Stegostoma tigrinum: one gene and its partner. The protein of the gene in region 1 interacts with the protein of each later gene in a pairwise test. Links are inferred from orthologs where the notes say so. Each region holds a gene or a part of one and is shown in the gene's direction. Other genes may lie near its edges. The genes, in order: neuronal migration protein doublecortin-like and zinc finger and BTB domain-containing protein 5.

Evidence for each region.
Region 2: the proteins of neuronal migration protein doublecortin-like (region 1) and zinc finger and BTB domain-containing protein 5 interact in binary tests that used the Homo sapiens proteins (3 or more experiments, as listed by UniProt). The two-hybrid records come from large-scale screens. The link is inferred for Stegostoma tigrinum from reciprocal best matches to the Homo sapiens genes DCX and ZBTB5.

The regions. Positions count from the first base shown.
Region 1 is NC_081368.1:24,971,816-24,979,111, reverse strand, and holds the start of neuronal migration protein doublecortin-like, read left to right. Parts: upstream 1-4,131; 5' UTR 4,132-4,469; exon of another isoform or gene 4,470-4,487; intron 4,488-7,296. UniProt on the Homo sapiens protein: Microtubule-associated protein required for initial steps of neuronal dispersion and cortex lamination during cerebral cortex development. May act by competing with the putative neuronal protein kinase DCLK1 in binding to a target protein.
Region 2 is NC_081356.1:12,640,876-12,647,998, reverse strand, and holds the start of zinc finger and BTB domain-containing protein 5, read left to right. Parts: upstream 1-4,075; 5' UTR 4,076-4,321; intron 4,322-7,123. UniProt on the Homo sapiens protein: May be involved in transcriptional regulation.

The DNA.
Region 1 (7,296 bases):
ATTTTAGATACAGAAAATAGATATGGAAAAACCCCTGTACTGAGCTAATAATGTATGCTTGGATCAACAATATGTGCCACCTGATATGAAGGAGAAAATAATATTGATTGTCACTGAATCTATTAGATTTCAGGCCGAATTTACTTTAGTAACAAACATACCCAAACTATTGCTGCAGAAGTGCCAGAAAAGAAAAGGCCAGTTTAAAAGAGTTGTATCATGAAAAATTCACCAAGGTAGATGCTTTTATTTTCCATTTGGGATTTACAGCAGGACAGTTCTGGCAGTGTCACTTTGCATTATTTCTGCCACACCCTTTCAATGTAATTTGGATTATTCAGGAATTAGCAAATGCAAAATGAGGGACCAACCAAAAGATCCATTGTATCAGTGTAAATTGTAATGAAGATTATGCGCCAGGTTAAATCTTTGATTGTAGGGAGAAGGATTAAAAACTGATGTTAACATTAGAGTAAAATAATGTTTTAATTGGGTTCAGTAGAAAACAAAGGGCTAAATATATGAGTGAATTGTAACATAATCTAAATTGAAGGAGACCTCAAGATATAAAGTAGGATATAAAGATATAAAGATGGATAAAGAGCTGAGAGCTAAAGAATGAAGGCAAATTGAGTTCAGGAATAGCTCCAGTCGTAGATGAAGTAACAACAAAACATCTAAAAACCCTTGGAGGAATTAGAAGTGATAACAGAAATCAAATATGTACAAAAATATACATACTAATTGACTTGAGGCATTCATTAGTCATATTACCTAACAAACTTAAAGATTATTTAGTTATCTCATTAAAGCGACCTTAATAACTATAATAAAAAGAAATTTGAAGCAGAGGTTGCTAAAATACAGGCTGGCTTTACACTTGGTGTTGGAACTAGAAAAGGTATTTACTCTAGGAACAATCTTTGCTGGATATTAAGTAAACAAGAATAAACGTGCTTCATAACGTATGAGAAAACATCCAATGGTGATTATCACAAACAGATAATAGAAATGTTTCTGAAATGTAACAAAAACAGTAGAAAGTCTACATTGTAAGCAAATGGAGAGGCATCAGGTGGAAGAGCGACATTCAATTTGCACGCAACAAGCTTTGGGCTGTAGGCTCCCGAGGCGGAATATGAAGTGCCGCTCCTCTGATGCAGCCTGGCCTGCTGTATTCTTCCAGCTCCATACTGTGTTATGCCCTAAACAACAGTGATCATGAAACAAAAACAGAACGTGCTGGAGAAACTCAGCAAGTCTGGCAGCATTTGTGGAGAGAAAGCGGAGTTGACGTTTCCAATTCAATGGCCCTTCTTCAGTGTTAACTCTGTTTCCTCTGCACAGATGCTGCCGGACAAGTTGAGTATCTCCAGCAATTTGTTTTGATTCAGATTTCCAGCATTCGCAATTCTTTGTTTGTTTAGTGTGATAATTATTTGCTTTTAGGTGTTCAGGGAGAACTCCCCTGGTATTCTATGATGAAGTGTCATTGGATCTTTGCCATTCATCTTGGAGTGCAGGCTTGGCCCCATTTTAACAATTAATTCAAAAGAAAAATTAATTCGGTCAGAATTGCACCGAAAATTATCCGCGATTTCATGCTTCAAAATGGGGCTTGAATCCACAGCTGAGAGGCAAGACTGATACCAGTGCACTTAACAGATCGTAAAACCACTGTTTTAAAGTAGCCGTTGATTCATTTCTTTTAAATTGAGTTATTAACAATTCTGGACAGAGAATTTTTAGACACATTAAAGATTTGCTACCACGGGGAAGGTTTCTAACCTATATTCTCGTGTTTGTGTCCATTAGCTCACTCAGTTAGATGTCCCTTGAAAAGTAGTGACCATGGACATGATGATCGGAATGAGATGACCGTTTCTGCCTCCAATTAGACACATAATTTAGGAATGTCTGACGCAGATTCTAGTTCATATTCTAAGATTTCACAAAAACCATTTCCAGATGATTCAGCACACTTTCTACAAGAGACCCCAGTCTTGCATCAACTCCACTCAATGTATTCTCTCTAGGCTCCTTTGCAGTGACTCCGAGGTGCTCCATCTAAATTTGCTAGCTTCTTGATTGATTGGGACTTTCTGCAGTGTAAGGGGCTCTTGTTGAGATGACACAGCCGTAGGCTGACCTTGCTCGGTGATCTTGGGGCCGGTGGGGGCAACGTCAGGCCCACCAACAGAGGTCACGTCTCTCTCTCATTCCTCGTTGAGCTTGAGATGAAGCTGCCTTTTTCTTCCGTTCCATGTGTTCACGGGCCTGAATGCTGAAGCATAGCAACAATACATCGTGACGGGGAGGGTCTGCTACAATTCAGGTAGAAGTTGAACAGGATGGTCCCGCTCACGTTAGAAGCATTTTGGCAATGAACAGATGCAACTTCAATAGATTGAGATTTACTAACAATAAAGCAGTGATTTAAAATCCATACCTACTCTCTGAGGGTCTTAAATTCTATGACCGGAGACGTGGTTTGCATTATTATATAAAATTACCTTGAAGAAATCCATAAAGTGTAAATGTTGGCATGCAGGTATTAATATTAAAGTTAAACACGAGAGAACAGCATATGTTCTGTCTGATGAAGGGTCTAGGCCCGAAACGTCAGATTTTGTGCTCCTGAGATGCTGTTCGGCCTGCTGTGCTCATCCAGCCTCACACTTTGTTATCTAGAACAGCATATGTTGTTTTAATGAAAATGCAATGATATAAGAGGCTGGAAGCAACGATTAAACACGCTGCCATAGAGGCGTACATTATATAAAAATTGCACGTCAAAAGATTGGTTGATATTGGGTCATAATCTCATTGTTCAGTAAACGCACAGCATAATGACGCTCACAACTTCATCAGGCAGTAACATTTTTGTAAAATATGTGTCAGTCGCAGTGAGAATGAAATGAGAGAGCAAGCCCTTTTAGTGCCTTTTGATTGAAGCCAAAAAGAGAAATAAAATTTCCACTCCTTTTGCTGCAGTCAGATGTTTTTGTGAGATATTCAAAGAGCCTCTTTCCCTGAGTAAACCCGACAATGCTTTATTTTGTTAATTGTCATATCGTTAACAGTTTTATTTAATAAAAAGAAGCAGGATCTGACACGTGGTGGTTTAGACAGTGACCAGCCCACCTGCATTTCCAATGTCTCCTTAATCACTGCGCCGCAGAGATCTAAATGTCTGCTCCCCAGCCTGTCCCCTTCTCTATTGACTACAACACTCCTCCAGGGTCCCACCTCCCACCTCACATACTACCGAGCTAGGTGTTAGGCAAACGCCAGGTTGTTTGTATCAAATCGGGAATCGCTTGGGGGCGGTGATTCAGTGTAAATCAGTCTCCTGTCAGTTTTCCTGTTCTCCGTACTGCGGATTTAATTAAAGGCGAGTGTGAATGTTTAAACGCTCATGACTGGAGAACGTGTCTCAATCCGTGAGACAGAGCCTCCTTCATACAAAGTGGTTGGGATTGACACTCTCTCTCCCAAAATCTCTCTTCACCTCCCCTCCCCCACCCAATTCCTCTCCCAAACTCCGTCTTCCTCCCCCATAACTCTCACTGCCTCCCCCAAACTCTGTTCTCGCTCACAACTCTCTGTCCTTCTCCCAATCGTTCTCTCTTTTACCAGTCCCTTCCCCCACAACTTTCCCTACCCCTCCCCCGAACACTACCACCCGCTGGCGGGGAGGGGGCAGAGGGAATGCAAGACTTCAATGAACCTCCTTCGATGCCATTGGATACATATTTTGTAAATATGATGGAGACATGCCTCACATGTGATAGGCAAATGGAGCTATTTGGGATGAAGTTATACTGTCACAGCTCAGGTTTCGTTACCCTGAGCATGAAATATTGGAGTGTTTGTGTGTGTGTTTTCGGGGTAGCTGACCACAGCCTATTCAAAGAATCCAAAGAAACTGACTACATTTTTTATTCTGCTCGCCTCTGTACTTATAAGTTATATTATATGAATTGCTTTGTTATATTCTGAGGTGTGAGAAGGCCTTTCTTTCTGCAGTAGCAGAATGTAGAATTCTAAGGCAACAGAAATATTCTGCAAACAACAGAAACATTGTTCTGATTTGAAGGAATCATTCCCCATACGTCTCGTTTTCTTCGATATTGCTTTACAACATGCGACCATAAAACAATTAGCCCAATGTGCTGACTGATAGAATTGAGGTCCATTTTGGGTACCGCTGCAGTACAGGTATATATATAATGTATGTTGTGTTTTCGTCTCTCATTCATTCGACCCCTGCGAGGCGCTAGAACGGGAAACGTGGGACTCGCTTGCAACAGTTTTAGTGGAAGACGGCTTCAACTCGCAATAGGACCCAGAGAAGCCACGATTTCTCCCGTTGTGGGTCTGGCCAGCCAGAGCGCAGACAACAAAAGCAGGCTTGGATTGTCTTTTTCTTTCTGCATCCACACCCTGTCCACACTGCACACAATTTGGTGAGTTGCTCCTTTGCTGTAAGTAAAAGACAGAGACAAAAAGAAGCAATCTCTATCTATCTCTGTATAGACATACGTGCACTATTGCTGTAGCACTTTGATCGAGTTCGGGTTTGGCATTCTGCAGTAAGATATTTTAGTCGATGTTCATTGAAAAGTGATTTATTTTAGTGTCTCTGCAGTTGATACATGGAGACGATAAGATTTCTCAAATTTTATTCTACAGCTCGAGTTCATTGCTAGATACCTGATGTTTCCTCACCTTTTTAACGAGTCGTTCCATAGTATTTTTTCAGGATTACCGCCTGAGAGTTAACATTTCCCATTCAATCTATTGTTAAATACATATTGCAGATAAGTGTTAATAGACAATAGTGTCTTCCCTTCAAGCAGATCGCTTCACCTTACAAATTTTTTCCATTGATCATGGGATTTTATATAAACGAATTGACAATCCCGTTTGTCAGCAAGCGTTATGTATATTTTCTTAAATTATACGATGTTCAATAAATCGCAATACTGAGTTCTCTTTGTTAAGATGTTCTTGACAGTAACTGATGAGACGGCTTTTAATGATTCATTTATCGCGCCTTTGTTAACAAGTGTTTAGTATGAGCCTTCCGTGTTGTGTATTCAGTTGCCCTTTCTTTACATAGCCGTTTATGAATAATACATTTTATGTGAAAACCGTTATATCAGATACATTGCACAGAGCGAGGAGAAGCCACTCCCCAGAAATTGTTACCTTAAGGCATGGGGTCAGGAGAAAATGTTCCTTGTGTTTCTGATTTCCAGCTGTAACTGGGATTATATATACAAAACGATGACTTTCGTGATTTTATTTTCTCAGATTTGTGTTTTAGTTTCGGTCACCTTTGAGGATCACATCATTCTGCAGGGCTGCAGTGAAAATTAACATTTTGATTTTTCACTTCAATAGAGGGTGTCGCTTTGGGACGCTGTGCTCCCTCCCTCAGGCAGGGTCACTCACAACACTCCCGGATTTAGATCAGCACAGGTCAGCATTTCTGCACTGCCCACCAATTCTCGTCTATAATCCACTTGAGGGAAACAAACAAAAAAACCCCTCTGCTGCACCAGCCTGTCAAGTCCAGATCCCACAACAGCTCATCGCAAGGTGAACCCAGCATCACCACTTTAAATGTCCATGATGTCAATGATCCTGGATCTGGGTAGGAATCACGTAACACGTTTCACTCCAAAACCTGCTCATATGTTACAGAGAAAGATGTTCCATCTATGAGTGTGAGTTGATCATGAAACCATACCCACAACATGGAATTAAAGCATGCCTTTAGAGGGAGATGTAGTTGTTCTGACCATAATTTAAGAGGGTTAGTCCTGTCATCATTCACTGTGAGCTTCATTAATAATGCATAGAAGCAAGGGTGCTGCTTGATTATGATTATACACAGGTCATTAAAGACTCAAGTTTTAATCCACTGGAAGCTTAACCAAGAGAAAGCCAAGTAAACTGCAGAGATCCATATTCAATCTTTGTGCCTTCTTCAATCTCAGCACAACAGCAACAATCCTTGATGTCCCCAACCTTGGGAGGAGAAATATTAACCAGGATTTCCATTCTGACATCACTTGCAAAGTGTGTGTTGGGTGAAGGGAGGCACAGTCGCATTTATTACGCCCCATTGATTTACTAATGTGTAGACATGGGTGAAGGTTGGTCACTCATATGAGGTGTGAGGGAAATTTGTGTTTCAATCTAGCCTTTGGGACAGGGGAAATCATTGATGGAAATTTGACATGACATCAACACTTATTAAATTCTGATATCTAGTCCCAATAACTGTCTGGGAATTCAGTACTATAGATGTGGTTCTGCTAAATTTAAGTTGATGAAAAGAGTATCAGTGCATTTGGTAGATGGATGAGTTTAGAAGAGGCCTGGGCTATCGTCATCATAATGGTATTGCACTAAAATGACATATCTTGCAGGTAAATCAAGTGCATTAGCTTTCCAAATATTGGCTTGATCTACCAGTGCACTAAATTTAATTTTCAGTACCAATTTGGCTCATGTTCCTATTTCTCTGTTACGAGTCGGTGTCTCGAGACCTAAGTGGGTTAGTTAGGATAATACTTCAAATCATTGCTGAGCAAGATCTATATTGTTTGAATTTTACATGATATGCCAAAGTAAGGCTCTGTCAGTCTTTTCAGGTGGATGTAAAGTAAAGAAGCTTTCCTGGTGACCTGGTTAATGCTAATCTCACAACCACCATTACTACATGCAGAATAATAGTCTTTCGTATCAACAACTGTTTTTGGGGCCATTAAAATTGGTGTCATGTTTGCATTCATAACAACAGTGACTGAACTTCAAAAATAATTCATTGTATTATGTATTGAAACGTACATTATGTTTATATAATAAATGACAGTCTGTTCATTAATGTCCTGTCCCAATTTCATGAAACGGCATTCACATGAGAACAAATTAATTTTGGAAGGATTATGGCAGAATGCAGCATAGAGGTAAATGTTGGGAGTTGTGAATATGTATCCTGGGTTAAATGAAAACTGATTTCTACACTTTTAATTAATTGATAAGTGTATTTAAATAATTCTATTTACTGCTTTTTACCTAGTAATTTCAGTAGTGTGAGCACATTAGAGATATAAAGGGGAATGTTTGGAAGTTTCATGCTCAATAATATTAATGGGAAAGCAGTTGGTGTTCATGTGGTCTGTTTACTGGTTAATTATGGCTGTTTAAAATCCCTTGGTGACTGAAAACTGGAGTCACTGCCCCAAAGGGACAAGTCCATCACAAATTAATTTTTCTGAT
Region 2 (7,123 bases), on another chromosome or scaffold:
AAGTACCGTGGCTACAAAACCAGGTCAAAGGATAGTAATTGATCTCATAACTCTCCAATGTTTGGGTGAAATGGTGACATCACAGAATTGTTCTGGTGCAGAACGATGCCCATTGTGCCTGGACTAGTTTGTTAAATGAGCACGGTTATTGTCCTCGATCACAAACTGCATCCAAATGTTCCTTCCGATTCAGTTAATTGTAGTTAAGAGAAGATTCAACAGCATTAATTTACTTAAATATGAGCATTATTAAGTAAATAATAAGACGAAAAAGAAAGGAAAATAAACAATAAGTTTGATGCCCTTCTGCCCACTGAGGACTCCTCAATCGATGGCTGGTCTGGAGACTTATGTTCACTCCTGGCACTGTTCACAATCCCGACCTGAGGGGCAGTCCAACGATTTGGAATGAAACTGTCTCTCTTATACAGTGTAACAAACAGCCAGTACAGAAAAATAAGTTGATTGTGCTGTCTTTGCACGTACAGGAATGTCAATCACCCTCACAGGACTTATTCAAGGTCATGCTGCTGTCGAATATCATCATCAATTTTAACTTATCCTATACAGTCCAAGCCTGATGATATTTGACAGCGTATGTTACAATTACAAATACAGATGCAAATCAGTGATAGCCACACAAAAACGTATAATAGTACGTCTCTTTAACCATTTGCAATATATTTGTATTGTTCTGTACCAATGCAGTAACTAAGTTCTATTCATTAACTGTTTTGTTGTATTATATATCTTACAAGCCATTACCATTTGCCAGTTTGCAGTTGTACTGTGTGTCCTTTAGATATGGTAAACATATCATGTCCCTGTGCTAACCATTACCCACAAGGCATACATCTAGTGGTATAGTGTGCAAAGACACATTTGTTTCCTGGTTGACATGCAAAGTCGCCCTGCACCCTTTCAGTTTCTTTGTGCTGTCCATGTCATGTTCACACTCCAGATATGTAAATTAGTTGCCCACGTCATCTGATGAATCATCCACAGCAGCGTCCATCCATAAAAAGTCCACATGGTTCTGTGAAGAAATCATACCTTATCAGTTTACAATCTTTGACAATGCACTTCCTTTTCGTTAATTTCCCTCTGTCTATACATTCTGGAGCTTCCTGTCCCTTTATCAATAGCAAATATGTATCAGCTTGTCCATGGGTAAGTATTTCATCAGGCTTAGACAGGCATTGTGGTTTCCCCTATACAAAGGTCATTGGGCTTTGTAGGTTTACTAGTAGGATGTAACTAGGAAGGCCACCTCCCTTAAACATTCTACTCATGGGTGACCCTCCTTTCAGAGGCTGATTATGCAGCTTGGGCAATGCCTGCGGCCACACTTTGAGCCACCCCTATAATGTATGATTAGGTGTCCATAATTTATTTTGTTGTTTTCATAACTCATTCATTCGTTCTACAAGGCTGCTTGAGGGTAATAGGGAATGTGAAACATCCCAGTGTCTGCAGTCCATTGCGACACCTGTTGACCATTATCAGATGGTATTTCTGATGGTTCACCATAGTAGGATATTAAATGCTCTAGGTCCTTAACAGTATCACTGATTCGCTTTGGTCGTCAGGAAAGCTCACATTAGCCCAGAGTAAATGCCCACCATGGTTAACGGATATTGATGTTGTTGTTGTAACTGTAATGGGCCAACATTGTCAATCTGCTAGATTTGAGCAGGCTGATCTCATTTGATTTGTGCCAATGGCTTTATCGGCAGTGGTATGTGCTTTACTTTTGACAAATTTCACACTTGCCAATTACTTCTCTCACCAGATGAGCAGATAAGTGCAAACCTTTATCTCTTGCCCAATGCACAGTGCTGTGATACCCTGAATATCTTGATTTTTCATGAGCCCATTTTTCAGTGTGATACTATTCGGATACATCTTCTGTTCATCATCAACTACATCAACTGTTCTGGCTTTTACTATTCCATCTACAGTTTTGTTGAGATCAGCAGATCCTTCATATGGGATCAACATGGTGTTGGACCTTTGCCCATATTTGTTCCATAGTTCTGTTCCCCACGGGGGCTTTCCAGCAATCTTCCAGTCTCATGACTGCCAGGTTGGCATCCGTACAGCCATTTCATTGGCCACTGCCACGAGTCAGTATAGATGTGCAGATACTGGCTCTCTTCTTCTAGTGCTAGGACCACAGCTGCTAATTTGGCATACTGGCTCATTGCCCCATTTCCATCAGTATGGATAATCATCTGCGCAAAAGGATTAAATGCACCTGCTCGCCACCACCTTTGGCCAATCTTCCAGGTGGCCGATCCATCAGTGAAACAAGCAGAGTGAGCAGTATCTTTGGGCAGTTGTTCAAATGGAATGCCCAATTGAACAGGAGGTGCGTATGGCCAGGTTGGAATTTGTTCACCTGATAGGTATTCAGCTATTTGTTCATGGAGCTTGGCAATCCCTTCCTTTTCCTTCTTGGTTCAAGCAGCTGTGTATCATTTGCATTTTACAATGGGGCTTTGTTGGGCTCTACTGACCTTATGTTTTGCAATATTGGACAAAACCCACATTAGAATTGGTAATTCAGGTCTGAGGAGCACATTGTCCTCGCCCGCCTGCTCTTCAATCTCTACTAAGGCCCAGTAGCAGGCCAGAGGTTGCTTTCCAAATGGTATGAAATGTAGAGCTGCCTCAGTCAGTTTTCTGGACCAGAAACCCAAAGGTATTGCTTTCCTATTCTGTGTCTGTCATAAGCTCCATGTGGCTACATCTTGTATTACTGATAGTTGTAATTTAAAGGAAAGCCAGGTATCCAAGGTGCCCGAGGAACTGCTAGTGCTATCGTCTCTTTAGCAGCCTTAAATGCTTTCTGCTGTTCATCACCCCATTCAAACACAGTCAAGTGAGGTATATGACTGCACCAATATCCAAGCATATATGTAAATTCCTGTGCCTCAGTTTTGCTCATTGGAACAGCAATTTCCTGTATTTTATTCTTTACTTTTTCAGGGATGACTCTATTCCCTCTTGTACATCAAATGCCTAAAAACTGCACTGATTCCACTGGCCCCTGTATCATCTTTAGGTTCACTTGGTAGCCAGTAGAAGGTATGTTAGTGGCCTTCCCACGTAAAAGCAAACTGAGGTTGTGATACCGGGGCTATTTACTTTTGCCATCCTTGCAAATTGCTCTTATACTGGCATGGGAAATAAGGATTTAGGACATGAAGCCTCTGAGGCACAAGACACACATACAAAAGTGTTTTTCCTCTAAATTACCAGTCCTTGGAAATTAAGAGCGATTTATTTTGTTCTTTCTTGGAGTGTGAACACCACTTGTAAAGCCAATGGGTACTGTTCCAATTCTGAGCACGGTAGGAAGAATTTGCGAGCTTTCGTAAATGTACAGAAAAGGTATGAGAATGACTTCAGAAATTAGGAATTTTCGCTTCATGGATAAACTGGGAAAACAGGAGTGTTCTCCTTTGAGATGGTCGAGGTGAGATTTGATAATTTAAAATCATGAGGAGAATGGACAGAATAGAGAGAATCTACCTACTACCTTAAGTGATTGACAAATAAAAATAGAGAAAAAAGGTCATCTTAAGCAGCGAGTAGTACGGCTCTGGAATGCAGCTCATGAGAATGTGGTGAGAACAGATTCATCTAAGGCTTACCAAAGAGCAACTGAATAAGCACATGAAGAAAAATAAACTGCCGGAGATGTTGGGGTAAAAGTCGACGTGGAACAATAGCTTAGTTGTTCTTGCAGAGAGCTAGCACTGATGCCAAAGGCCAAGTAGCATTCTTTTGTACTACTACCTTTCTTTGTGAAGCACTTGGGATCCCTTCTGCGGTCGTGAGGTAAATAGAAGCAAAGTTTTTTTCTTGAAATTAAACTTATTTACTCAACAGAAAAACAAAGACAACTGCATTGCACTTAAGATCTGATTCTTTACAGGTACACAGATGTCAATTAAGTGTGTGTTGCATTGATTGCCTTTGCTAACCGTGCGAAGTAACGACACAAACAGAAATAGGAACGAGGATACCAGGCTCTAGATGTCAATCCAAAAGTAAACGGCTTCCGCTTCCGGGTGAAAGGTGGCAGTTTGTCAGAGGCCGATGGGGAGGAGGAGGTGGTGCTCGTTGCCGGTCTCAGTCACAGCTGAACAAAAGCTGGCGCTTGGCCCAGTGTCGAGCAGTTTACCGACTCCGGGCCAGGTTTCCGGTCGGTTTCCGTTTGTCGCCCGGGAGCGGCGGCGGCGGCGGCGGCACGAGGCTCACACGCGCCCGTTGTTTTGTCCGCGAGCGCGGGAGGAAGCGGCGCGTGCCTCTGGTAAGGGAAAGCGCGAGCGGTGTGGGCCAGGCGCATGCGCTTAATGGGGTGAGCGCACAATAAGGGGGCTGCGAGCTCCGGGAGGTTGCACGTGATTCTTCCCCCCCCCCCCCCCCCCGGCAAATCCCGGACATCTCTCTGCAACTCCCTGTCTCTGCACCCCAAATCTCCCTCCATCACTTCCTACGTCCATACCCGTCTTTGTAGGGCCCCTTCCTCTCTCGTGTCTCCAAAACCCATATTCTTCAGTTCCAAGGTCCTCCCTCTTCCCCCCCCCCCCCCCACCCTCGCATCAACCCTTCTTCTCTAGGGTCCCCATCCTCCTTTATTCACCTTTCACCTCTCGGGTCTGCATTCTACGCTTCACTTACAGAGATCCCCCCTTACTCTTGAGGGTCTCCATTACCCTTGTATTGCTCCTTCTTTAGGGTCCCCGTACCTTGTAATAATCCTCCCCCTCCCCTTCACTTGCAGAGATTCCATTCCCCTTGCATCCCATCTTCAACCCGAGGGTCCTCATCCCAAGCTCCACCCCTTGTCTCCAGGGTCCCCCCCTGCCTGAACACATCTGCCTGACCCCCCCCCAACTTCAGTGCACGCGCCCCCATCCGCATCCCCTCAGTGCACGTTCGCCTGCCCCATTCTCCCCGGTCCACATCTTTCCCCCCCCACTTCCTCCTCCTTCCCCAGTCCACACTTACCCTCATATCCACAACCTGTCCTCTTCCTCCATCCATCAGGTAGAAGATACAAAAGCTTAAATATATGTGCCAGCAGATTCAAGAACAGTTTCTTCCTGTTATTAGAATTCTGAATTGACTTCTCAAATTTTCAGTTTAAATGTTGGTCTCACTCTTTGTGCACCTTCTCTGCAGCTGTAACATTGTATTCCTCGCTCCGTTCCATTACCGTAATGCACTTTGTATATGATCTGCCTATATTGCAGGCAAAACAAATCTTTTCACTGTAGCTAGGCATCCGAGAATAAATCAAATAAGAAGAAATCACCCCCCCCCCCACCTTCTCTTCAACCGGTTTCCTGTAATCCAGTTGGGCAATTCCTGCAGACCCTGCTACATCCCAAAGAGACATCTTGCATTCAGCTTCCTGAGTGACCACATCTGGCCTTTAGCCCTTTTCTGATTTGTTCACTTGACAGTTGTCAAGTGTGCGTTTAGTTACATCACCTTACTCTTACCTCTTTAGTTGTCCTAAAACGCACTTCACTGTTCTAGTATTTCTTTCAGTACATTGGCGTCAAAATTTTTTTGTTTGAGTGCTTTTGTAAATCACTTGGAATGTTTCAAGGTGCTATAGAAATGCGAATCATTTCTGTCCTTCTCATCTGCCCCCCAGTCCGACCCCCCCCCCATACACACACACAGCATCCATTGTATAAACTCCCTAAGCTATCTTCCAAAGTCTGGCCAGGATATCCCTGTGCATCAGGAGCATCCTCATTGAGGCAGCAGACCAGGCATCTCCCAAGTGACTACTCTTCTCCACATCACCGGGCAATCATGTCCATCTTTTCTCCGTGGTTCATGCTATTGCTGTCTGATTGGAGGACTTGAATTTAGGTCTCTAGAACTTGTTTGTAATCATAGCTCAAGTGCTGAGCCACTCTGTTAGACTAGGACGATCAGCCTCATCTGCCAGACATCCGCGCACCGATGTAAGCATCAACACGAGGTGGTTTTCTTTGTGATTTCAGTACGTTGTGTCCAGCTGGGACCTCGCTGGCATTGAGAGTCTCCGCCCCCGCCCCCGCTGATTTGGAGCTGTCATTGCAGGCTCTGAGTCCACATACCACGAATCCATGCAGAAATAGAGTATTAATGCAATGTTATTAGGCAAATAAACTGGATGCGGTCCATCCGCTTCAACGGTGCATTGCAAACTGAACCGACAATGACAAAGCATTGGGCAGTCATCAGAACCCGTGTCCACTAGATATTGGAGTGGTAGCAGCTCCAAGGCTCTTTGTATCGCAGTTCCTGCAGACAGCTAGAGCCAATGCTGGGCAGGCGCGGGTTGGAGACTTTACTGAGTGTGTGTGTTTTGTGAGAGAGAGAGAGAGGGAGAAAGGAGGGGGCTGGTGGGAGGAGATCAGGTCAGTGCACCGACAGGCTGGTGGGAAAAGGCGTTCGGCATCCTGTGCCTAAACTGCCAAGGAAGCGGGGGTGGGGAAGAGAGGAAGGAAGGAGGCAGCAGGCTACGTGTGTGAGCGAGTGCATTGGCCGATGGTGCTAATCTTTCATGCACCCGGTTCGCAAATGTAGATTCAGTTGCCTTTGCTGTCTTTGCATGGACTGCACGTAGGATTTCTCAGTGGACTGCCAGTGTTATTGCAATGTCGCACAGAATGGTAATGAACGAAGACTGACCCGCATCTTGTTCATGGGGAAATAAATATCCTCCTAGTTGGGACGCGATCCGTTTTCCGAACAGATTGTTTTCGCTGGTCCAGGCTATGCCACATACCTGAGTTAATTTGATCCACGAGCGAGCGGTAGCAAGGACTGGTAGCCCGGGGGTTCACGTCCTAATGTAAGTTAGTATAGTTTGAAGCTCAATAAGGTAAGAATGGGATTCTGAATCTTGCCTGAGAGCACTGCCTTGATTCTTCACCCACCCTGCCCCGTATCCGTCTACCAGAGTTGAATTTTATGCAATCGTTTTAATTTCTTTGCAAAATTTTTTTGACATTGGTGGACTGATGTAATTACAGTGAGTTAATAAGTATTGCACTGGATGTCTTGATTAATGTTTAAATGTGTTTAGGAATAACCCTCAGAAGAG